Caenorhabditis elegans: one gene and its partners. The protein of the gene in region 4 purifies or fractionates together with the protein of the main gene of each other region. This does not show direct contact. Each region holds a gene or a part of one and is shown on either strand. Other genes may lie near its edges.

The links.
Region 1: the proteins of swsn-4 (region 4) and taf-1 fractionate together in Caenorhabditis elegans (co-fractionation; one large-scale study listed by BioGRID). This does not show direct contact.
Region 2: the proteins of swsn-4 (region 4) and emb-5 fractionate together in Caenorhabditis elegans (co-fractionation; one large-scale study listed by BioGRID). This does not show direct contact.
Region 3: the proteins of swsn-4 (region 4) and act-2 fractionate together in Caenorhabditis elegans (co-fractionation; one large-scale study listed by BioGRID). This does not show direct contact.

What each region holds. Positions count from the first base shown.
Region 1 is NC_003279.8:13,859,531-13,864,482, forward strand, and holds the start of taf-1 (Transcription initiation factor TFIID subunit 1), read left to right. Parts: upstream 1-1,943; 5' UTR 1,944-1,945; coding exon 1,946-2,072; intron 2,073-2,137; coding exon 2,138-2,333; intron 2,334-3,727; coding exon 3,728-4,130; intron 4,131-4,952. Other genes in the region: W04A8.6 (ANK_REP_REGION domain-containing protein), read left to right, coding at 1-21. UniProt on the Caenorhabditis elegans protein: The TFIID basal transcription factor complex plays a major role in the initiation of RNA polymerase II (Pol II)-dependent transcription.
Region 2 is NC_003281.10:4,714,753-4,722,284, reverse strand, and holds emb-5 (Suppressor of Ty 6 homolog), read left to right. Parts: upstream 1-1,614; 5' UTR 1,615-1,619; coding exon 1,620-1,750; intron 1,751-1,797; coding exon 1,798-2,050; intron 2,051-2,123; coding exon 2,124-2,465; intron 2,466-2,515; coding exon 2,516-3,102; intron 3,103-3,146; coding exon 3,147-3,666; intron 3,667-3,719; coding exon 3,720-4,073; intron 4,074-4,120; coding exon 4,121-4,420; intron 4,421-4,468; coding exon 4,469-5,362; intron 5,363-5,409; coding exon 5,410-5,583; intron 5,584-5,635; coding exon 5,636-6,455; intron 6,456-6,507; coding exon 6,508-6,698; 3' UTR 6,699-6,992; downstream 6,993-7,532. Other genes in the region: acy-1 (adenylate cyclase), read right to left, coding at 1-73; him-18 (SAP domain-containing protein), read left to right, coding at 7,108-7,166, 7,241-7,296, 7,348-7,468, 7,513-7,532. UniProt on the Caenorhabditis elegans protein: Histone H3-H4 chaperone that plays a role in maintenance of chromatin structure during RNA polymerase II transcription elongation.
Region 3 is NC_003283.11:11,076,257-11,079,918, forward strand, and holds act-2 (Actin-2), read right to left. Parts: upstream 1,899-3,662; 5' UTR 1,872-1,898; coding exon 1,682-1,871; intron 1,637-1,681; coding exon 856-1,636; intron 804-855; coding exon 644-803; 3' UTR 521-643; downstream 1-520. UniProt on the Caenorhabditis elegans protein: Actins are highly conserved proteins that are involved in various types of cell motility and are ubiquitously expressed in all eukaryotic cells.
Region 4 is NC_003282.8:11,124,171-11,131,674, reverse strand, and holds swsn-4 (SWI/SNF chromatin remodeling complex core catalytic subunit swsn-4), read right to left. Parts: upstream 5,652-7,504; 5' UTR 5,602-5,651; coding exon 5,146-5,601; intron 5,099-5,145; coding exon 4,874-5,098; intron 4,827-4,873; coding exon 4,600-4,826; intron 4,553-4,599; coding exon 3,760-4,552; intron 3,712-3,759; coding exon 2,062-3,711; intron 2,018-2,061; coding exon 1,511-2,017; intron 1,466-1,510; coding exon 980-1,465; intron 932-979; coding exon 851-931; 3' UTR 513-850; downstream 1-512. Other genes in the region: ard-1 (3-hydroxyacyl-CoA dehydrogenase type-2), read right to left, coding at 117-275, 359-382; Meiotic recombination protein spo-11, read left to right, coding at 6,940-6,987, 7,033-7,202, 7,253-7,487.

The DNA of each region.
Region 1 (4,952 bases), on a different chromosome or scaffold from region 4:
CTGCAGCAACAGAGGATGTAGAGCTGATTTTCAGTGGAAAATTCTAATTTTCTGTGAAAAAAATCGAGTTTTTTGGGTAAAAATTCATAGAAATCTGAATTTTTCCCCCAAAAATTGAATTTTTAGTCAATTTTTACCATGTTTAACCCTAATAAATCCCCATTTCCCCCCCCCCCCCCCCCCCCCCCCCCCCCATTTTCGTGTCAATTTTCGGGTAAAATTCCCATTTTTCGCTTGTATTTTTGCCCATTTTTCATTGTTTTTTCTCTCGAATTTTCTCAGATAATCAATCAATTTAATTGAATCTTTTTTTTTGTTGAAAAAATTGAATCATTTTCCATAATTTTGTCATTTTTTTCCCATAATTTGAAATGAATTTCTCACTTTCCTATTTTCGCTATTCTTTTCCGGTTTTTTCGGGGGGAAATCCTCGAAAAAGTGTAATTTTGCACTTGAATATTTTTTTTTTTAATAGTTTTTCTATTTTTTAGCTGAAAATTCAATTTTTAAACGTTTTTTCACATAAACCAACGTTTAACAGAAATTTTGTTTTAAAAATCGGTAAAAACCGAATAAAAAGTGAAAATTCGAAGAAAAATTTAGAAAAAAACAATTTTTATTCAAAAACTCTAATTTTGCTGTAAAAATTTGGAAAAAACTTATTTTCATCACATTTTTAGTCGCTAAATTCAATTTTCAGTCGAAAAATTGAATTTTCAAGCGAAATTTTGAATTTTCAGTCAGAAATTCTGCTAAAAATTGCAAATTTCATGAATTTTTCTTCAAAAATTTCATTTTTTAATGCCAAAATCCAATAAATTCCACAAAATCATAATTAAAATTCGAGTTTCAATTCCAAAAATTCTGAATTTTCCACAAAAAAAAGATTTTTTCCGCACTTGGTTGCTCACACTACAAACTACACAATTTTCTAGCCTCACTCAACTTTTGGTGAGGCTTAAAAAGTTGTAGTTTGTAGTGTCGGCCTCAACCAAATGCATTTTTCGAGCAATTTTAAGCCGAAAAGTCAGAAAAAACTCAACTTTTTGCCGAAAAACTTTGAAAAAATTAGATTTTCATAACATTTTTAGTCGAAAAATGAATTTTCCCGGTGAAAAATTAAATTTTTCAGCGAAATGATTGTAAATTTCATTTTTTTTCTTGAAAAGTCTAATTTTTATGCGAAAATCAATCAAATTTGAAGAAATAATAATTAAAATTCGAGTTTCATTCAAAAAACTGAGAACTTTCCCCAAAAAATTAGTTTTTCCGGAGTTGGTTGAGGCTCACACTACAAAAACTACAACATTTTCTAGCCTCGCCCAACCTTTGGTGAGGCTGAAAAAGTTGTAGTTTTTGTAGTGTGAGCCTCAACCAAATCCATTTTTCACTCAAAATCGAGCAATTTTGAGCAGAAAATCCATTTTTTCCGTGAAAAAATTTAAAAATTCGTGAATCATCAGGTTTTTAGAATTATTTTTAAAGTTATTATCGTAATTTTTTCCAATTTTCTACAAGTTTTTAGTCTCACCAAAAGTTGGTTGAGGCTAGAAAATGTTGTAGTTTGTAGTCTGTGCATTTTTTGGTGTTTTCTTCTTAATTTGCACAATTTTGATTCATTGTTTATTCGGAAAAATGGAAATTTTATCGATTTTCAAATTCAAATTAAATAAAAATTCAATTTTGAGACTAAATTAATGGTTTTTTTTTCGAATTTTTCAAAATTTCCGTTTTCTTTTTTTTCTCTGAAAATTTTCTAAAGAATATCAATAGACAGAACTCATGAATTTTCAAAATTCAAAATCTCTAAAACTCAAAATCGAGCAACTTTGAGCAGAAAATTCAGAAAATATTCAATTTTTTCGTGAAAATTTCTTGAAAAATTCGTGAATCTCCAGGTTTTTAAAATATTTTTCAAAATTTTTTATTGTAATTTTTTCCAGTAATGAACAATACACATCATCACACAAATGGGTATCGAACGGAAAAGCCAAAAAATGAAGAAGATCTAGAGGATCCTTACGCTAATCTCTCGGATTTCTACAAAAATCATCCGGCAGCACGGAATGAAGGTAGCGAAAATCGAAAAAAAAAACTTTGGAATTTCACTAATTTTTCATTTTTTTCATTTTTTCAGCATGTTCGTCAGCTTCTAATGGCGGCTCTAAAAGTGTGAAAATGGAGCCAAAAGTGGAAAAAAATGAAGAATTTGAAGAATATATTGGTGATCCTGTACGATTAGAAGATATGGAACCATTTGCAAGACCATCACTTCGAGATGATGCACCACTTTCATCTATTTTACATCCGGATCTTGATGGAATTGATCCGAGGTACTGAAAACCACAAATTTCTGTTGAAATTGACGTTTTTTACCGGAAATTTCCACGAAAAACTCAAAAATTCTATCAAAAATCACTGAAAATTGGGAAATTTGACAAAAAATTTCATTTCCTGCCGAATCCTGTAATGTGTAGTATGAGATGTGTGTGGTATAAAAATTGACAAATTTTAATTTAATAACATTAAAAAAAATTTCATTTTTCTCTAAAAACTTTATTTTTTTTTCCATTTTTACAAACTTTTTTATAAAATCACCCGAAAATTCGAATTTTCTTCGGAAAATCTATTTTAAAAACTCTGAAAATTGCTCGAAAATGACATTTTTTGAATAAAGTATTCCAAAAATGCTCAAAACGTGCTGTTTCTTCCAAAATTCCATAATTTTCTTTTAAAATTCCGCAAAATTTGCTTGCCCTTGAAATTGAAAACTGAAATTTTTTGAATTTCCCGCCAAAAGTCGATTTGGAAAGAGTTTTTGCTGGAAAAATCAAAAATTTCGACAAAAAATCGTAAAATGGGATTTTTTTTTCAAAATTTTTCGAAAAAAAATCGAGTAAAAGTGACGATTTTTTTTTCAATTTTTGTTGAATAAATCGAATATTCAGTAAAATTTTCATTTTTTTTTCTCGAAAAATTGATAGAAATTCTAATTTCGTTGGAAAAAACAAATTTTCACTTTTTTTAAGCATGAAAAGCGCCATTATTTCAAAAAATTGGCAAACATTTGCCGAAATTCGAATTTCGCGCAAAAATCGAATAAAAGTGACGATTTTTGTTGGAAAAATCGAATTTTCACTGAAATGTTGGGTTTTGTTTTATTCGAAAATTGAAAATTGAAATTCGAATTTTGCTCCAAAAGTCAGTTTTCCAATGAAGTTTCATAAAAACACACAAATACACAATTTTTAAGTCAAAAAACCCGAAAATTGGCAATTTCTGCAAAAATTCCTTTAAAAAACTCAAAAATTCACTCAAAAATCGTTGAAACCCGTGTCACTTTTCCCCGAAAAAACCCACAATTTTTCCACACAAACCCATGGTTTTCCTAGCCATCAGAAATCTCATGTAAAACTCGAAAATTTGCTTTAAAATTGTTAAACCTTTTTTTCGAGCCAAAAAAGCCAAAAAAAGCCTGAAAATTGGCCAATTTCTGCAAAAATTCCAAAAAAAATGGTTGAAACCCGTCATTTTTCCCCTGAAAACTGGTTTTTCTCGCCGAAAAACTCGAAATTTTGATGTAAAATTGCTAAAAACTGCTAATTTCTTCTAGAATTCCATAATTCTCTGTTAAAATTTCCAAAAAAATTCCGAAAATTCGCCAAAAATTCACGCAAATCACTGAAAACCCCCATTTTTCCGCAAAATCCTTTAATTTTATTTTCAGAATCTTCTTCAAAGACTTCAATCCAAACAAAACTCTTCGTTTCTCTCGACTTTTTGCTCAAAATATCAAACATACGTCCCGTGCCGAGATCTGGTGGGCTTCCCGAACCTTCTCCAAACATCAACGCAAAAAAGAGCCCGAAGAGCCCCTCGCTGATGACGTCATCGTTGGAGCCAAAAAGCTGAAGCTTAACATCATTGAGAAGGTGCCACGTGTCATGTTGGCTGACGATGAAGAAGAACGAATGCGGAGACCGATACTGACGGATGCAGAGGAAATGGCAAAGAAAAATGAAGAGGGTACGGTAGTTCAGCCGTGGAGAACGGGTCCCGCCAAGATTTGGTATGATATGATGAATTTGCCGATGACTAGTCAAGCTGTTAATTATGGATTCAAACTGAAGGTAAAAATAATGAAAATTTGCAGAAAATCGGCTGAAAATTGCTCAAAAAAATGGAATTTCCTTTGAAAAACTGACTTAAAAATGGCTGAAATTGGCTAAAAATGATCAAAATTAAAGTTTCCTGGTAAAAAATACACTGAAAATGGCTGAAAAATGGCTGAAATTCGCCAAAAATTGAAGTTTTCAATAAAAAAAACCCTAAAAATCGCACTAAAAATCTGAAAAAATTACCAAAAAAGCGCAAATTTGACACAGTTTGCTCAAAAAAATTTGGTTGAAGCTAGAAAATTTCGTAGTTTGTAGTATGAGCCTCAACCAAAATTGAGAATTTTAAATTGGTTGAGGCTAAAAAGTTGTAGTTTGTAGTATGAGCCTCAACCAAAATTGAGAATTTTAAATTGGTTGAGGCTAAAAAGTTGTAGTTTGTAGTGTGAGCCTCAACCAAAATTGAGAACTTTAAATTGGTTGAGGCTAGAAAATGTTGTAGTTTGTAGTGTGAGCCTCACCCAAAATTGGTTGAGGCTAGAAAATGTTGTAGTTTGTAGTGTGAGCCTCACCTTAAATTGGTTGAGGCTAAAAAAGTTGTAGTTTGTAGTGTGAGCCTCAACCAAAATTGGTTGAGGCTAGAAAATGTTGTAGTTTGTAGTGTGAGCCTCACTCAACAATATATTTTTAGTTGAAAAACGTGATTTTCAGTCAATTTTTGATAATTTTTAACTAAAAATTCCTGAAAAATATAATTTCCAGCTCAATTCCGACAATTTTCCGGTTATTTTCACGGCTTAAACAGCATTTCATGAGTTTTCAGACAATTTTCGGTCA
Region 2 (7,532 bases), on a different chromosome or scaffold from region 4:
TACTGTGTGCACGAACTGATGGTCCACATGAACCACCGAGAGCCGGTGTTCGTTCACCGACATCGTCGTCCATGAATCCAGAAGACAAGAAGAATCTTCAGAATAGAAGACGTTGAAAAATGAAAAGGAAGAAGATGAGGCAAGTAGAGGAGAGCGAGTAGTAGTTGTTCCCCCTCCTTCGCCTCCTACTCCCCCCAACTGCTTACTCTTTTTCTCTCGTTCACTCTCTTCCAATCTCTCACTTACTTTTGAAAGCCTTTTCAGAGAAAAAGAGAGTAAAAGAAAGTGCGCAGAGAGCTTTGGAATGAGAGAGGCGCAGAGTTTGAAACGAAAAGCTGCGCGCTCGACTGGCCCCAGGGTGGGGCGGGTCCAAGAGTGTGGAAGAGAGAGAGAGAGGATGGAGAATAGACATTGAGCCTCAATCTTTCGATTATTGTGCTCATGGATTCGGGGGATCCCATGGGATTTGATAAGTATGTCGGAAACAGCAAATGAATGAATAATTAGCGATGGAAATTAGGACTTCAACTAATGAAAAATGGTCAGCAAGTGAATATCTTGGGGGTTTTTCGGATATGATGATCAGCAGGTTCAGGTTATCAAAGTAATGCAGTTTAAGTGAACCTTCACTGTAGGCACTTACCCCCTAGGCATCTGGTAGGGCGTATATCTAGAATTGAAACACTGATTCAAGCGAAACTTTTTCAACTACCGTACTCGGGAGTACTGTAGTACCTCAATCTTTCTCGCCAAATTTCTCCTGAAATTACAGAACTTATGAATTGATTTTTCCTCGAAAAAATCTACGTATATATTTGAAATCGGGAAATAAGGAAAAAAAACTTTTAAAAAGCTTCTATCATACTCGCTGGTACGGTATTTGATAAAGTTTTTCTTCGTGGTAAGATTTTTGTTGATGAAAGAATGAGTCTGTGAAGAATAAACCTTCAAAATTGAACATGGTAGTTGAATGAAAATTAATCTTTTATGCCTAAATAATTTCACATAGCTATATAGCTATTACATTTTTCGCAACAATTCTGAATACCCCGGTTATCGTATTTCGTCGTCTTGGATGCTTGCTAAATGAACCAATTTGTTTACCTATCACGCAATAAAGATGAATCGAAATCACTTTTCGCAATATCGCTTTAAAATGAAACATATAATTCCTAAAATACGCGAAACTCGGGAAAGCGATATTTTTTAAACGACCGCGTTTTTCTATCTCTACCCGCCTCTTGCAATCCCACACTCTCTCGCCTAGCATCACAATGGGGCGCAGTTGCATAAATCGCTTCGCGTTCAAATTCAGAAAATCGTCTCATTTTTATTTTTGTCCTCGACCCGAATGGCCGGTTTCCTTCTTTCTCCGTTTTCTTTATTGATTAATTTTCGCTCGTTTGGCCTAAAAACCGCGTAAAATCCGTCATTTTTCACCTATCTGGCTAATTTTTTTTGCACAAAATAAGATTTTTCAGTTTTCTTTCACTTTTAAACCTTTTCCGCACTGTGAGCTGTTTGCAATTTTCTTAATTTTGCTCTTTGTGCTTTTCGAAATTTTTGTATTATGAAATTTCGTTCTTCCCAAGTGAAATTAACTGAATTTGTTGCAGGTAATGGATTTTATCGATAATCAAGCCGAAGAATCAGATGCCTCCTCGGGCCATTCTGATGATGAAGAACCACAGTCGAAAAAGATGAAAATGGCAAAGGAAAAATCAAAAAGAAAGAAGAAAATGGTTGCCAGGTAATTATAATTCCGGGGTATTTCTATTTTCATTTGTTCATTTTTAGTTCTGACGAAGATGAAGACGACGATGACGATGAAGAGGAAAACCGTAAAGAAATGCAGGGATTCATTGCAGATGATGACGATGAAGAAGAGGACGCAAAATCGGAGAAGTCAGAAAAATCTCGGCACTCGGGAGAAGATGAGCTCGACGATGAAGATCTTGATTTGATCAATGAGAATTATGATATTCGAGAGACGAAAAAACAAAATCGAGTTCAATTGGGTGATTCCAGTGATGAAGATGAGCCGATACGAGTGAGTAATTTCGATTTTTTTCAATTGCCACTAAAATTCATAATAATAATAATAATCAAATTCGGAATTTCAGAGACCCAACCACGAAGATGATGATTTGCTTTCCGAACGAGGAAGTGACGATGGAGACAGGCGAAAAGATCGTGGTCGTGGAGATCGCGGTGGTTACGGATCAGAGTCTGAAAGAAGTGAGGATGACTTTATTGAGGACGATGGAGATGCGCCACGAAGACATCGGAAACGTCATCGTGGAGACGAAAATCTCCCAGAAGGCGCTGAAGATGACGCCCGTGATGTATTCGGAGTGGAAGACTTCAATTTGGACGAGTTTTACGACGATGATGATGGCGAGGATGGTCTAGAAGACGAAGAGGAGGAAATAATAGAAGATGATGGTGAAGGAGGAGAGATAAAGGTTGGAATTTTTGAGAAAAGCTTTGCATTATTGAAATAGGAATGGTTCAGATACGCAGAAAGAAGGATACTACAAAGAAGTCAACACTTCTCGAATCCATCGAACCAAGTGAAATTGATCGTGGATTCTTGTTACCTGGGGATAAGAAAATCGCGAAAGAAGATTTACCAGAGAGGTTCCAACTCAGAAGAACACCAGTTACAGAAGCGGATGATGATGAACTGGAATCTGAAGCTCTATGGATTATTAAATATGCCTTCGAAGAAGGGACAGTGACAAATCAAGCTGACCTGGATCAAGACGATAAACTTGATTGTATAATGAATCTGGATCCTTCTGTCTATGAAGATAGAAAGAAAGCTGTTATAAAATCCATCAAGAAAGTTCTCCAATTCATTCGAGTTCGTTCTAATTCGTTCGAACCTACGTTTATTGGATTTTATCGTAAAGAAGATATTGACAATCTTCTGACAATGAATAATCTATGGAGAGTATACGATTTTGACGAAAAATGGTGTCATTTGTCAGAGAAGAAAAATAAAATTTACGATTTAATGCGTCGGATGAGAGAGTATCAGGAACTCAGTGACGATTTGACCGCAAAAAGACGACCGATTTCGGATGCAGATTTGATGGAGTAAGTTTTAAAATTTAAAATTTAGAATTTAAATTATTTTTCAGCACAAAATACGCAGAAACTCTTGAACAGCTTACCGACATACATGCAAATTTCCAATTGTTGTACGGTGCTCTTCTCGACGATATGATTAGATGGGAAAAAGGACGTTTAACCGGTGAAGAAGAGGAACAAGAGTATCGAGTCAAGTTCAAGTCAAGCATTCGTAATGATAAGTATCAAATGTGTGTGGAAAACGGAATCGGAGAGCTTGCTGGACGGTTTGGATTGACTGCAAAACAGTTTTCTGAAAATTTGAACTGGAAAAAACACGACATTGAGCAAGATCCGATGTTACCATTGGAAGCAGCAGAAGAGTATGTTTGTCCTGCGTTCAGTGACAGTGATATGGTTCTGAATGGTGCGAAATTCATGCTTGCCAAGGAGATCAGTCGACAACCACAAGTCAGGCATAGTGTTCGGCAAGAATTCCGCCAGTCTGCACATTTTTGGATCAAGCCAACGAAGAAAGGACGTGATACAATTGATCAAACTCATCCCCTCTATGACAAACGGTATATCAAGGTGAGAATTATTTGAAATAAATGTCTAGGATTTTAATAAATATATATTTTTAGAGTAAACCAGTTCGAAGTCTCACCGCTGAAGAGTTCCTCTTCTATCACAAAGCCAAAGAGGATGGTCTTGTTGATGTGCTCATCATGTATGAATCTGAAGAAGATCAGGATTCAAATAACTACCTCGTTAACAAGTATCTAAGTGATTCCATTTTCCAAAAAGACGAATACACGGAAAATGTTGAACAATGGAATTCAGTGAGAGATGAGTGTGTGAATATGGCTATAACTGAAATGCTTGTACCCTACATGAGGGATGAGTTGTATAATACGATTCTTGAAGAAGCAAAGACTGCAGTAGCAAAGAAATGTAGAAAGGAGTTTGCATCTCGAATTTCTAGATCAGGATATCTGGTATTAATTTGATTTAATAACTATGTAATTGTTTTGTTTTATTTCAGCCGGATTTCGATAATAACGATGACGATGATGATGGTATGGATCAACATGGAGCTCGTCGAATCATGGCAGTGTGCTATCCAACAGAGCGAGACGAAGCTTCATTTGGTGTAATGGTTGATGAAAATGGTGCAATTGTTGATTATCTTCGAATGGTTCATTTCACGAAACGAACGTTTGGCGGTGGAAACAATGGACTAAGGAAGGCCGAGTCAATGGATTTGTTTAAGAAGTTTGTACAGAGACGAAAACCTCATGCTATTGGATTGAATATTGAGGATATGGAGTGTACTCGATTGAAGGTTTGCACTAGTTTTGAACATTTGATACTTAAAAACTGCAATTTTCAGAGAGACCTCGAGGAAGCTGTGGCAGATCTTTTCTCGCAGAACTTGATCTACAAACCAATTCCAGTATTTTTGATGGACAACGAAGCCGCAAAAGTCTACATGAGATCGAATGTTTCGTTGGCGGAGAATCCAGATCATCCACCGACGCTCCGACAAGCTTTATCCCTAGCTCGTCTTCTTTTGGATCCCATCCCAGAGTATGCTCATTTGTGGAATATTGATGAAGATATTTTCTGTCTCTCTCTGCATCCGCTTCAACGGGATATCGATCAAGAGCAATTGGCTTTGGTTCTCAGTCATGAATTGGTGAACAAGGTCAACGAAGAAGGTGTTGATATCAATAAATGTGCAGAATTCCCTCACTACACTAACATGCTCCAGTTCACATGCGGATTGGGTCCACGAAAAGCCACTGATCTTCTGAAAAGCATAAAAGCTAACGATAATTTGATAGAGAGTAGATCGAAACTTGTGGTTGGATGCAAACTGGGACCAAAAGTATTTATGAACTGTGCTGGATTCATCAAAATTGACACTATCAAGGTATCGGAGAAGACTGACGCTTATGTTGAAGTTCTTGACGGTTCGAGAGTACATCCAGAGACCTATGAATGGGCTAGAAAGATGGCTGTGGATGCGTTGGAGGTTGATGATTCTGCTGATCCAACTGCGGCTCTTCAAGAAATCATGGAATCTCCTGATCGTTTGAGAGATCTCGATTTGGACGCGTTTGCCGATGAATTGAGTCGACAAGGATTCGGAGAGAAAAAGTCGACGTTGTATGACATCTCAAGCGAGTTGAGTGCGAGATATAAAGATCTTCGGCAACCATTCCAAGAACCTACCGGAGAGCTTTTGTATGATCTTTTGGCTCGTTCAGGAAAAGAAATTAGAGTATGTTACTTGTAATAATTCTGTCGATTTTATTTTTATTTTTGCAGGAAGGAGCTAAAGTGTTGGGAACAGTTCAATCTGTGCAGTACCGTAAAGTTGACAAAGATGCAGCAGACAGCATGTTACCTGATGTTGGAGAAGATGGTCTTTTCACTTGTCCATGTTGTAAATCGTTCACATCTTCGGCTCCTGGTGGAATTCAAGAACATATGCTCGGTGACGTAAGTTTTTCTCAACTAATACTATTCGTTAACCAATGTTAAATTATTTCAGTCTCGTCAAGGTGGATGTCCTGGAACACCAGTCGGAATTCGAGTCAGATTTGACAATGGAATGACTGGATTCTGTCCGAACAAGAACATCTCATCAAGTCACGTAGACAATCCATTAACCCGAGTCAAGATAAATCAGCCATATTACTTCAAAGTTCTCAAGTTGGACAAGGAGAGATTCTCACTATTCCTAAGTTGTAAGAGTTCGGATCTGAAAGAAGATGATTTATCTCAACGTGATCAGTACTGGGATGAGCATCAATACCAAGCTGATTTGGAACTGATGAAGAGTGAATCGAAAAAGAAGACAGAAGCAAATACACGTGTGAAGCGAGTAATTGCGCATCCAAATTTCCATAATGTATCCTACGAAGCTGCTACGAAAATGTTGGATGAAATGGATTGGTCTGAGTGTATTATTCGTCCATCGGCTAATAAAGATTCTGGTCTTTCTGTGACATGGAAGATTTGTGACCGCGTCTATCACAATTTCTTTGTCAAAGAATCCGCAAAGGATCAAGTTTTCTCCATTGGTCGGCAACTCTCAGTCGGCGGAGAAGATTTCGAGGATCTTGATGAGTTGATTGCTCGATTCGTTCAACCGATGATACAGATCTCTCACGAGATAACAACTCACAAGTACTTCTTCCCAAATGGAACATGCGAAGAAACAGAAGCAGTCGAGCAATTTGTACGAGAGAAGAAACGAGAGCTGGGACGATCTCCGTACGTATTCAGTGCATCCTACAGACAGCCATGCCAATTCTGTATTTCTTATATGTTCGATAATACAGAACGGATTCGACATGAATATTTCAAAAGTGAGTTTCGAAAAGAGATACGAACAAAGTTTTCAACTATTTTTGTTTACAGTTGTCCCACATGGAGTCCGATTCCGACATCAAAACTTTGATACGCTAGATCGAATGATGGCTTGGTTCAAACGCCATTTCCACGAGCCTCCCATCGAGTTAAGGCGATCTGCGATCCCGGCTCCACAGTATCGAGTTGGTGCTCCTCCAGCAGCTCCATACTATCCTCCTCAATTCGTCGGCTATCACTGAAAACCCTGATCTTATTCTCTTTATTACCCACACCTTATCAGACACATTCAATCCTGTTTCCTTTGTTCCAGTCTATCAACGATGATCTAATTTTAATTTATAGAATACAACATCCATCTGTCTTAATCCCACATAATTTGTTTTGATTTCGGTAATCCGTTCATCCTCGATTTTTACTTTTCAAACATTTTTATATATCTATCAAAATATTTATTCAAGCAGTCATACTGTTCATGAGCTCTTTCTGTATTCAAGTACCATTTTTGTTGTTTACTCAATAAATTTCGTAATCAGAATCACTGCTAAATCATCACGAAAAAACGTAGAATGCGTTGATCACAATTGATATTGGAATAAGAATTGCAAATTCAGTTTTAGAAGAAAAAAAAGTATTCTAGATTCTACTCATATGAATGATTCATCACTAAAAAAGGCACTGTCCCAAAACTCGATCTCATCCGCGCCAAGGTAGTAAGGTTTTTGTTTCTGTCGTATCTATTTAACCTAAACGTAAATTAAAAAATATCTGTCTTTTTTTCTAGGCGTCCTCAAAAACTTGGAAGTGTGCAGAGTATTGTAAGAAATGAATCTGACAAAAGTAAGTTTCAAATCAAATTTCCCAATTAAATCAATTAATTTACTTTTTGAGATGTTCCTTCTCCTTTCGAAGAGATCACACTGAGCGACGATGATGAAGAAGCACCGGCTAAGAAACCTGTAAAATGTGCGACGTGTGCACGAGATATGACTCTTTGGATGAATTCCAGAAGGTTTGAAATATTATTTGTGTTTCTTCTCACTGTTCAAATTTTAGAGATATTCATGTAAAAGTTT
Region 3 (3,662 bases), on a different chromosome or scaffold from region 4:
CGGATTTATTATGAATAATAAAAATTGTTTAAAAACATTTTCAAAGTATACATTTTTTAAAGTACCACGAACTTTTTGCGCAGTAAGACCCATCGGAACAAGTCTGTGCACCTTTAAGAAACCATGTCAAAATCCAGTGAAATGACGATAAATACACAAAATATTAGGTTCTCAATTCTAACTGGTGGAGGCGCAGAAAGAAAAAAACCTGACAATGTGAGATAGATCTTATAGAGAAACAGTTAGATAAAGAAAATTTCGGCCCGAAAGAGCAACTGGCGAAGAGGGAGAGACGAGATTATCGTAACGCGGGAAATTTCAATCAACAGGAACAGTGAACGCAATCGACACCGAACTGATAAGAAGTTGACTCCAGAAATGCTTATCAACAACCGCGATCTGGACTTGGAGGTCACGTTAAACGATGAAGTTTACCAATGATGACATTGGACCACTAAACTAAAAGTATATATACGATTTCACGTTTAGAAATATTATTAAAATAAACCGACAAATTTTAAAACGATGCTTACACGAAGCAGATTTATAATTTAAAATCGGGGTGTGAAAATCCGTAAGGCAGATGACGTTATCTGGACATTTCCAAAAGTTCAGGTGAATATTACATAAATTGTTAAAACGTTTAGAAGCATTTGCGATGAACAATTGATGGTCCAGACTCGTCGTATTCTTGCTTGGAGATCCACATCTGTTGGAAGGTGGAGAGGGAGGCGAGGATAGATCCTCCGATCCAGACGGAGTACTTGCGCTCTGGTGGGGCGATGATCTTGATCTTCATGGTTCTGAAAAAAAATCAAATTAATTTGTTAACTAAAACAAAAATAGAAAACTTACGATGGGGCAAGAGCGGTGATTTCCTTCTGCATACGATCAGCAATTCCTGGGTACATGGTGGTTCCTCCGGAAAGAACAGTGTTGGCGTACAAGTCCTTACGGATATCAATGTCGCACTTCATGATGGAGTTGTAAGAAGTCTCGTGGATTCCTGCAGATTCCATACCCAAGAAGGATGGTTGGAACAGAGCCTCTGGGCAACGGAAGCGTTCGTTTCCAACAGTGATGACTTGTCCGTCAGGAAGTTCGTAGGACTTCTCGAGGGAAGAGGAAGAAGCGGCGGTGGCCATTTCTTGCTCGAAATCGAGGGCGACGTAACAAAGCTTCTCCTTGATGTCACGGACGATTTCACGCTCAGCGGTGGTGGTGAAAGAGTAACCACGCTCGGTAAGGATCTTCATGAGGTAATCAGTAAGATCACGTCCAGCCAAGTCAAGACGGAGGATGGCGTGTGGGAGGGCATATCCTTCGTAGATTGGGACTGTGTGGGTAACACCATCTCCAGAGTCGAGGACGATTCCGGTGGTACGTCCGGAAGCGTAGAGGGAGAGGACAGCTTGGATGGCGACATACATGGCTGGGGTATTGAAGGTCTCGAACATGATTTGGGTCATCTTTTCACGGTTAGCCTTTGGATTGAGTGGGGCTTCAGTGAGAAGTACTGGGTGCTCTTCTGGGGCAACGCGAAGCTCGTTGTAGAAAGTGTGATGCCAGATTTTTTCCATGTCGTCCCAGTTGGTAACGATACCATGCTCAATTGGGTACTTAAGGGTAAGGATACCTAAAAACAACTATTTCCAATCGGTCAAATTTTTTGAAAATTTACCTCTCTTGGATTGGGCCTCGTCTCCGACGTACGAGTCTTTCTGTCCCATACCGACCATGACTCCTTGATGACGAGGTCTTCCGACAATGGATGGGAACACGGCGCGTGGAGCGTCGTCTCCAGCGAATCCAGCTTTGCACATTCCGGATCCATTGTCAACTACGAGAGCGGCAACATCGTCGTCACACATGATTTATTAGATTAGGAGGAACTTAGCCTACAAAATAATTATGAATTATGAATCATAATTTTGCCGAACAAGATATTACGGTGATAAGATAGAGATTTCAAAATTGATGATCAAAAGCTTTCCAATTAAACCAGCTATAGTATCAAAACAAAACCAATTGGTTCTTAAACACAAATTGTATGCAAGTGCAGCGAGAAAAGAGAAATCAGCATTCGGCCTAAAAATTTGCATATTCCTATTGAAAAAAGAAGGGAAACAGAGAGAAAAGAGTGGTGAGACCGTTATCAATATATTTGAACAACGCGACGAACGTGTTTGATAAGAGGGAAGTCGGTAAAAGATAAAAATTCGATACGAAACTGACAAAAAAGTCGTCGCATGCCCAATTCAACAGCAGAAAACTCTCGAACAGAGGCGTGGCTTCGCGCGCTAATTCAAATGGGTTCCGCGCGGGAAGGCCGATAGAGCACACTTGCTGACCGTCATGTTGAGTCATCTTTTCCTTTTTTGGGAACACGTTTCAATTCTTTTTCATTGATTTTCGTGATTTTTTAATCATTCCTCAATTTTTCTTCGTGATTCATTGAAGTATTCGCCGAATCAGGTATTGTTTTTATATAAAGGGTGGATTAATTCGAAAACAATAATAATTTTTGCTTGAGAAAGAGTAGGACTATATTATTTCGAATATACTAAAATTAATAATATTTCTGTTGAAACGTTTGTTGGATCTGGTATCTCATCTCCGTTTTCGGATAACTACGGGCGGGTCAAACAGAAAGTGGCGAGAAGGTATCGGTGAACGGCGTTAATCTCGTCAAAATTAATATAGAGATCGCTAGGAATGTGGAAAATGCCATTCCTTCTTTGGAGATATAGAAAATAAAAGGGCGGCGCATTTCAACATGCGCTTGGTTCTCAGAAATTGCATGAGTCATCGCAAATATTTCGAAATTCCTTCATATGCGCAACGAAAAATTGTGAACATTTCACAATTTTCTAATTTTTAAATCTTCAAAATTCTAACATTAATTTCTAGGGCTTTCCAAGGATATATTCTTGAGAAGAAAATAGCTTCGAAAAGGATAGACAAAACCGGTCAATGTATGTTTCAATGAATGGTTTGACTTAAGCTCTTCTAACCAGCAATTGCTGTGCGGGCAGCGCAATACCAGAACCAACCCAATATGCGCTAATCGTTATACACGCCTCATTTTCTTTCTGTCACGAGGAAATCGTTAAAAAAGCAAACCTTCAGAAAAGTCGAAAGGCTTATGGTTTCTTCAAGTGAAAAGGTATCTAGACTACGATTCCTCCAGTATTTATATGTGTCATCTAATTTCCCTTGCACCTTCCCACGCAAAAATTCTTCACTAGCGTTCCAATTACTGATTGGGTCCGCAGACTTTTTTGCCATTTTCGATCCCCTATGCTGTGATGTTTGTAAACTCTTCGAAAGTATTTCTATCTCATCGAATATACCAAGAAAATCCTGCATGAGTTTCTTGCCTGCCCCCCCCCCCCCCCCACTGGTTTTTTTTCTGCTCCTCAATATCAGTTGGTACTCTCCCGATGATTTCTGAACATCTTTCCGCCCTCACAAGTGCTTGCACACATAGACCAATATCAATGAAGATTAAAAAAAAATAAATTAATTTCAAAATGTGGAAAGAAAATATTAAATAGCCTTAAAAGATGTATAGCATATGTCTGCTCAGTGTATGTTCCATCACACATGTTCGCATTAGTGCACAACGGGGTGATTTACAAGCTCTGCCTTCAATTAATAAG
Region 4 (7,504 bases):
CACTCGTTTCTATTTTACAAAAAAGGGCGTGTCGAGACAGAGATCGCAAAATTGGCGTCTGGGTAATATTTTACTTGAAGTTTCTCTTTACAAATGTAGCATGAAATCATTGTTACCGAAGCTGGTGTAAAGATTCCTCCGATCTCCTTCGCAACATCGGCTCCTTTTGACTGTGGAAGATCAAGAATAGCGACCTGTGCACCAGCCTTTGCCAAAACTTCGGCAGCACCCTTTCCCAGTCCAGACGCTCCGCCAGTGACGAGAGCAACGAGACCCTGAGAAGATAGAACGTAGGGTTTTCAGATAACACTTTCAATTTTGGAGCAAGTATTCAACCTTTTCAAGCTCTTAAACTCACCTTAGTGCTTCTGAGTGCCGACATTTGTTCCCGTTTACCTAAATCATAAGTGTGTTTGATTAAACATTCAAAATCTCGAACTAAGACGGAAAGTATTTAATAAAAGAAATCGCAACGAAATTCGAAAATAATTCTTGATAACAAAAGCATATTTCTCTCGAAATGTTTATAAAATTAAATTTTTCTTTAAAATAGTTGACGAATAGTATGGATTAAAAGTGGAATATGGGTTAAATACAATGCTTAATGCTTTTGTTTCAGGGATTTTTTCCTGCAAACGTGTAGCTTGCGACAGAAAAGAGAAGTAGAGATAAACAGTAAAAAAGCGATGAGAGATAACTGTGAAGCAGGAGAGATAAGAATGGGGGAACGAGGTGGGACATATTTATGGTGACAGCTCAAAAAATCAGAAATCATAGAACATGAAGAATACACAAACAGAGAATAAATGTTTATGGGGACATGAAAATATTTGGAGCAGACTAGTTTTGATCACTCGTCGTCTTCTTCTTCCTCATCCTCGTTCGAGAAGCGGCGAGTTGGACGAGACTTTCGACGGCTTGATGCTGGTTCCTGGAAATTAAATATTAGACTTAAAGACATTAAAAAAGTTCAAGTAACCTTCTTTTGTCCAATGATCTCCTCTTCTTCATCTTCTTCCATTGGGTCTTCACTATCTTCCGATTCCTTCTTCTTTTTCGGTGGTGGTGCACTTGCAGACGATGTTGATGGTTCATCATCTTTCTTAGCTTCCTCGGTCTTTACAGAAGACGAAGTTTCTTTTTTCTCGTCCTTTTTGGGGGTTACTTTAGTTGAAGCTTGTGCACGTTGAGCTAGCATAGCCGACTGCATATATTGAAGCATTAGGGCTTGATTTCCACCGGTCTGTGTCATCAATGCCTGTTGAAACTGCTGAGCCTGTGCGGGTGGAAGTGATTGCATATGTGTCATAAGCATTAACATTTGCTGAGCAGTTGCCTGTTGTGTCCGCTGAAGATCTGACACACTTGGAGTGCCACTGGTTGAGGGACGAGAAGATGAAGTTGATGGGGTTGAAGGTTCTTTCTTCTTGACTGGTTCTTCTACTGGCTTCGGTGGATTCATAAACTGAAAAAGTAATGTAAACTTCGAAATTTCAAAAATCAATCATACCTTATCGTATTGTTCCTTCCACAATTTTCCGATTGTTTCAGAGCTAACATAAATCTCACTGCCTTCTTCGTTGTATGTTTGAGCATTGTTCACAAGCAAATTCATATCATCATTCAATTCTTCCATAACCGTATAACGTCCTGTTTCGATCTTTTTGTTGATTCGATCGAAATCCATTGGTTTGGAAATCACTTGATAATAGTCCGGCAGTTCTTTACGAGTTGGAAGTGTCTGGAATACATCCGCGATGAGTTCTCCATCCTCATTTTTATATTCTAGAATAACATCAAGCATTTCATTGATTTTTTCTGCCAATTCTGGATCCGTCTTCTTCTTCTTGTGTTGTAGAACAACGTCATCCATAGAATCATCATTCTCGTCCAATCCAGCCATTTTACGTTTTCTTTGCTTTTTACGTTCAGCCACAGCTTGATTATTTTCATCCTCAACTTCCTCAACTTGTTTCATGAACTGTTCATCGGACAAAAGATCGGAAGAGTAGTCGACCTGAAAATGAATTAATATTGTAAATTCTCTTATATATTCCTTACCTCTCTTCTGCGTCTTCTCTGATTAGGAGTTTGATCAACAACTTCACGACCTTCCTCTCTGGCTCGTTCCATTTCCTCATAATCGAATGACAATTTGAGAATATCGTCTGGAATTTCATGTTCTTCTAGAAGACGGGGTTTACGGTGAAGTTGATTAGCTTCTTCACGACGACGATCAATATCCATCGATTGGAAGATATTAAATTCTTCCTCTGAGCGAGCAACCATCTGATTCACAGTTTCATCATCTGGAACTTCCTCTTCTTCTTCCTCTTCTCCGTCTGCTTGAATAATTTGTTCGAGCATTTGCTTTCTTTCAGCTCCAGTTGAACGTTGATCGAACTTTCCTGCTTGAATAACTTTCTCGTCGACATTCAACTTGTAGCGAGCAGCGGCAAGAATTTTCTCTTCAACAGAGTTAGCTGTGATGAGACGAAGAACTCGAACTTCTTTCTTTTGTCCGATACGATGTGCACGATCTTGAGCCTGCATATCCTGATGAGGATTCCAATCCGAATCAAAGATAATAACAGTATCAGCAGTTTGCAAATTGAGTCCAAGACCTCCAGCTCTTGTAGAAAGCATGAAAAGGAACAAATCACTGTTAGGAGCATTAAACTGTGTCAGCAGATCTCCACGCTCGTCTGGTTTAGTTGAACCGTCTAAACGGAGGTACGTGTATCTTCGGAAATTCAAAAAGTCTTCGAAAATGTTCATCATAGACGTCATCTGGAAGAACATCAGAATTCGATGACCTGTTGCCTTTAGTTTCGGTAGAATACGATCGAGAAGTTCCAACTTTCCAGCAACACGCATTAGATCGGTTCCATTGACTTCGTTGACCTTCCAGTATGCACGGCAGGAATCTTCAATATTAGGGAAAAGGAACGGGTGATTGCAAAGCTTGCGAAGATGCACGACAGTGTTCATCAACGAACGTGCTCCAGATGACATTTTAGCGTCGAGAAGCAATCCTTTCTGCATATGACGATAAATAACCTTTTGCAAAGCAGACTGGTCACACTTGATGACATACTCGGTCTTGTCAGGAAGCTGTGATTCTACTTCCTTTTTGAGACGTCTCAGCAAGAATGGACGAAGAACCTTGTGCAGTCTTCTGATGATGAGCATCGTCTCTTCTTGATTCAGTTCTACTTTCTCTCCTGTAGTCGCAAATGGAGCATTGAACCATTGTTCGAAAGTTCCACAAGATGAGAAGATCGATGGAAGTAAGAAGTTCAGCAGAGCCCATAGCTCAGGAAGTTTGTTCTGAAGTGGAGTACCAGTAAGAAGTAAACGATGCTGAGCATGGAAGAATCCGTTCAACATCAATGTCAATTTACAATTGTGATTCTTCAAACGATGTCCTTCGTCGATTATCATATACTTCCAACGGATTTTACCAAGCAGTGCTTTCTCTTTGATCACATATTCATATGTTGTCATCAAAACGTTGAACGCTCCTTTTCTGATTTGTCCTTCAACACGACGACGAGCATCTTTAGTTCCTTTATAGATGATAGTGGTTACAGATGGAGCCCATTTAGCAAATTCGTTCTGCCAATTGGACAACGTGGAGAGCGGTACGATGACAAGATATGGTCCATTGTTTTGTTTGACTTCCATCAAATACGTCACCAACGAGATTGTCTGAAAATTAAAAATTGATTAATATTTCCTCATTTCCCAAATTCCTACCTGAATAGTTTTTCCTAGACCCATTTCGTCGGCGAGGATACCGTTCAGATTGTTGTTGTATAAGGAGACCATCCATTCCAATCCCTTAATCTGATACGGTTTCAGCAGAAGATTCGGATCACCACCACCCATCGTTGTGTGTTGCTTGACAACCTTTTCTTTGATTTTGTGAGCAGTTGCATAGTAATCAGCCATTTGCTTTTTCGTTTTCTGATCATATTCATCCTCTTCGTTACGTGCCTTCTCGAGGATCATCTTAGCTTTTGTCTCTTCATCCATTCCAGCGTACTGATCATCCTTCTCTTCTTCTGGTTCCACTGGAGCCTCTTCCTCTTCCTCTTCTTCGTCATCACTAAGCTGATCACGTGGAACTATCTCATATTCTGGATGAGTTTCAAGCCAAAACTCAATTTCTTCAGTCTTTGGAGCTTGATCTCCAGTAAGCGCTTTTCCAGTGCTTCTCTCCCGAACGTGAACCCTGGCTTCCTCATCCATTTGATTTCCTTTTTCAATTTTCTTATCTTCCTTCTTCTTTTTCTTTTCGGTATTTTGATGTTGACGAACAAGTGAGCACAGAGAGTCGACGTACTCATCGGTTTGTTGAAGAAGATACACAAGACGTTGATCTTTCTTCTCATCAAGAAGAGCACGATATCCTTCTTCATCTTCTTGCATCAGTTTTTGCATACGAAGTTTTTCATTTCGAATCTCGTCCTTCTTGCGTTCACGTTCATTGTTTTGATGATATGTCATGACTGCCTTGCGAGACTTTGCCATTTTCAGAAGATTGTTTCTGAAAATAATTTAATTAGTAGGAGAACTTTCTAAATACAATCTCACCTATGATACTCCTTGAATTCCTTTCCATGCTGAATGATAGCTTGCATCAAATCAGTATGCTTCTGCCTTCTCTTTCTTTCTTGCTCCATCTTTTGTTGCTTCTCAAGCTTTTCGGTAACACGAGCTTCGCGTAAAGATTGCCGCTTTGTGCGTCGATACGCATATGGATTGAGTGCAGTTTCGAGAGTTGTGTCTCTTTTGAGACAAGCCATCACTTCACTGCGCACCTAAAAACAGCTTATTGGTTAAAATACTCTTCGAATCCAGAAATTACCTGAGTTTGGAGATTGACAAGACGTAAAGCACGCAATTCGATTTCTGCTTTCAATTTCATGTGATCTGGAATGTCGGCGGGTAAGTTATTGAGTAGCTTCATGCGTAGCCCGATTCTGTTTTGAATCATATTTTCTCTTTGCTTGAGCATGCCAACAGGATCAATTCCTGATGGAACAGAAATTGTTGTTGGACGATTACAGCGTATTTGATGGAGATTGAAAATCTGTAAAAAAGTAGACTGTATAGTTTCATTCGATCCATTTTACCTACCTTCATCAAATCATACGGCAACTTTTCTCCATTCTCTGCCTCTCCTGGATATTCATAAGGTTCAGGCAACAAAGTTGTAACTTTTGGTCGGAGCATGACAGCATCCGCAATCAAGTTGGCCGGTACTTGTTCATTTCGAGCCAAAAGACGATAGGCTGACACTTGAGCCCTCAGTTGATTGAGTTGTGCTGGGGTAATTTGTTGATTCCCGCCATTTTCCTGTCCTGGAACGGCGTCTGGGAGACCAGATTGGAGTTTTTGCTTCAAAAGAACTGCTTTGGCGTGTCGATGGTCATTCTGAAGACCTTGTTCCTCCATTGAAGTTATCGCATTTTCCAGTTTGGAAATTGTCAGCTCTTGGCCTTGAGCTCCATCACCAGCTTGCTGAGCAACAACTTCACCGGCTGGTTGCGGTGGTTGAGCAGTAAACTGCTCAAACGCCGGCCTTCCGCTCATTCTTCAAAATTCCAGCAATTTGATACACTATCTTCTTTCAAATTGATAGTCTGAAACAATTATTAATTCAGAATTTTAGATTCAATTGAACATTCAAGATAAACAAAAAGTATTGCGGTAATAGTATATAAGCGAATTTCAGAAGAAGCCTGCGTGAATAATAAAACCGAGGACAATATATAGACTTTCCATCCATCCTAGTGCAAAAAGAGTAGGACTGATGGAACCGAGAAATAGCGTGCAAGTGAAAGAGAGATGTAGTGTATTGCAGGACACAACTTTCGGCGCGCATTCAAAATTTCTAGCGCATATAAAACACGGAGAACTCTTCGGGGGCCCTTTGTGAGCTAGTGAGATAAGAAAAGCTAAGAAAAAACTAAAAGATTGACGATTTCTAAAGATTGTGAAAAAATCGATAAGTAGTGACGTGTACGAATCGACTTTTCATGAATCCTGAGAGGTTTTTTCGTTTTCCAACGACGTATAAGTGTATACTGATAACTAGTATCGCTTGATATCGTGAAATTCGTCTGAAAACCGAGAAAATCCATGAAAAATGGTCTAAATTGTGTGTTAGACTAAGCAGCTGGGGAAGAAGAAGGTTTGAATGTATGCAGTGGACGCGCCGAGCGTCGATTGGCCAGAGAGGCAAAGTGAGGAGAAACACTATTGGAAATGGAGAGACGCAGACACTCTGCATGTCTGCCTGCATTGGAAACGGGCCATTGCGGCGGAGAGGACAAATGAATGGGAAAAGAGACAAGAAAAGAAGGAATAGTGGAAAATACAAGAAGACTACGGTAGATATAGACCATATCAGAGCTTCATTATGACTATTTGAATAAAGTATTTGAAGGAAATTTAATATAGCAAAAATATTTCAGCGCAACAACATTTAATGCTAGTTTAAGAAAAAAATGAATACTATACATAAATTTTATATTCTATAAAAATCTTCTTCGACTGCGACGAAATGAATGGTGCAGTCATTCGCTTCAAAATTGCATTTAAGCTGTGGTTTTTCGGCAGGGATTGAGAAAAACCGAGTTATATTTAAGAAATGCATTTTAAAATATTTTTTGAAGAAAAATGTCAATTTAAGAATATAGAAAAGAAGATCGAACATTGAGACTCGTCGGCGCCGAGTATTAAAAATCTGACGAAAATTACAGTACTACTCCGATTCGCTGCGGGACCCGTGCTTTATTTTCACGTATGGTCCTTTCGATTATTGACTTTTTGTATCTTGCAGCTGGAGCCTTATTAGCTTGCGTCCAAGTTTTATCAAAGTTTTATTCCATTTTATCTGTATTTTTGTTCTACTAATTAGTTTAAAGCATGTATGAATATTCTTTCAACCCAAATATCGATCATGAGCCCGGATCTGTAAGCTTAATATTGCTGATTCAAATCTAATTTTGCAATTTTCAGGTAGAATCTCAACAATCCACTATTTATTCGGATTCTGATGATTCTGATGACAGTTTTCTTGACGATGAAGTAATACCACCGAAGGAACAAGCTATGAGAAAAATTGAATTCGCTCTTGCAGATATTAAAAGGCAAATGGATAACAAAGAGAAATCGTTGACTTTGAGAATGTAATAAGTTCCTGTTGAAAATGTTTGAGTAATTTTGTTTTTTTTTTCAGATCGACTAGTAAATCACATTTTTGCCTTCGTTATACAGCAAAGAGGAAAGGAAAATTGGATAGAGATTTGCACTGTCTTCACCAAGTTTATGATTTGCTCGAAAATGACAAAAGATCAACGAAAAGAGAATTGTATTATGAACATAAAGCAGTTTATGGAAACCAGAAATATTTAGACAGTTCAATAAAATCAATTTGTGAGCTTTTGAATGAAAGTCGGGCTAATTTAAACATTGTCAGTGTGACATTAAT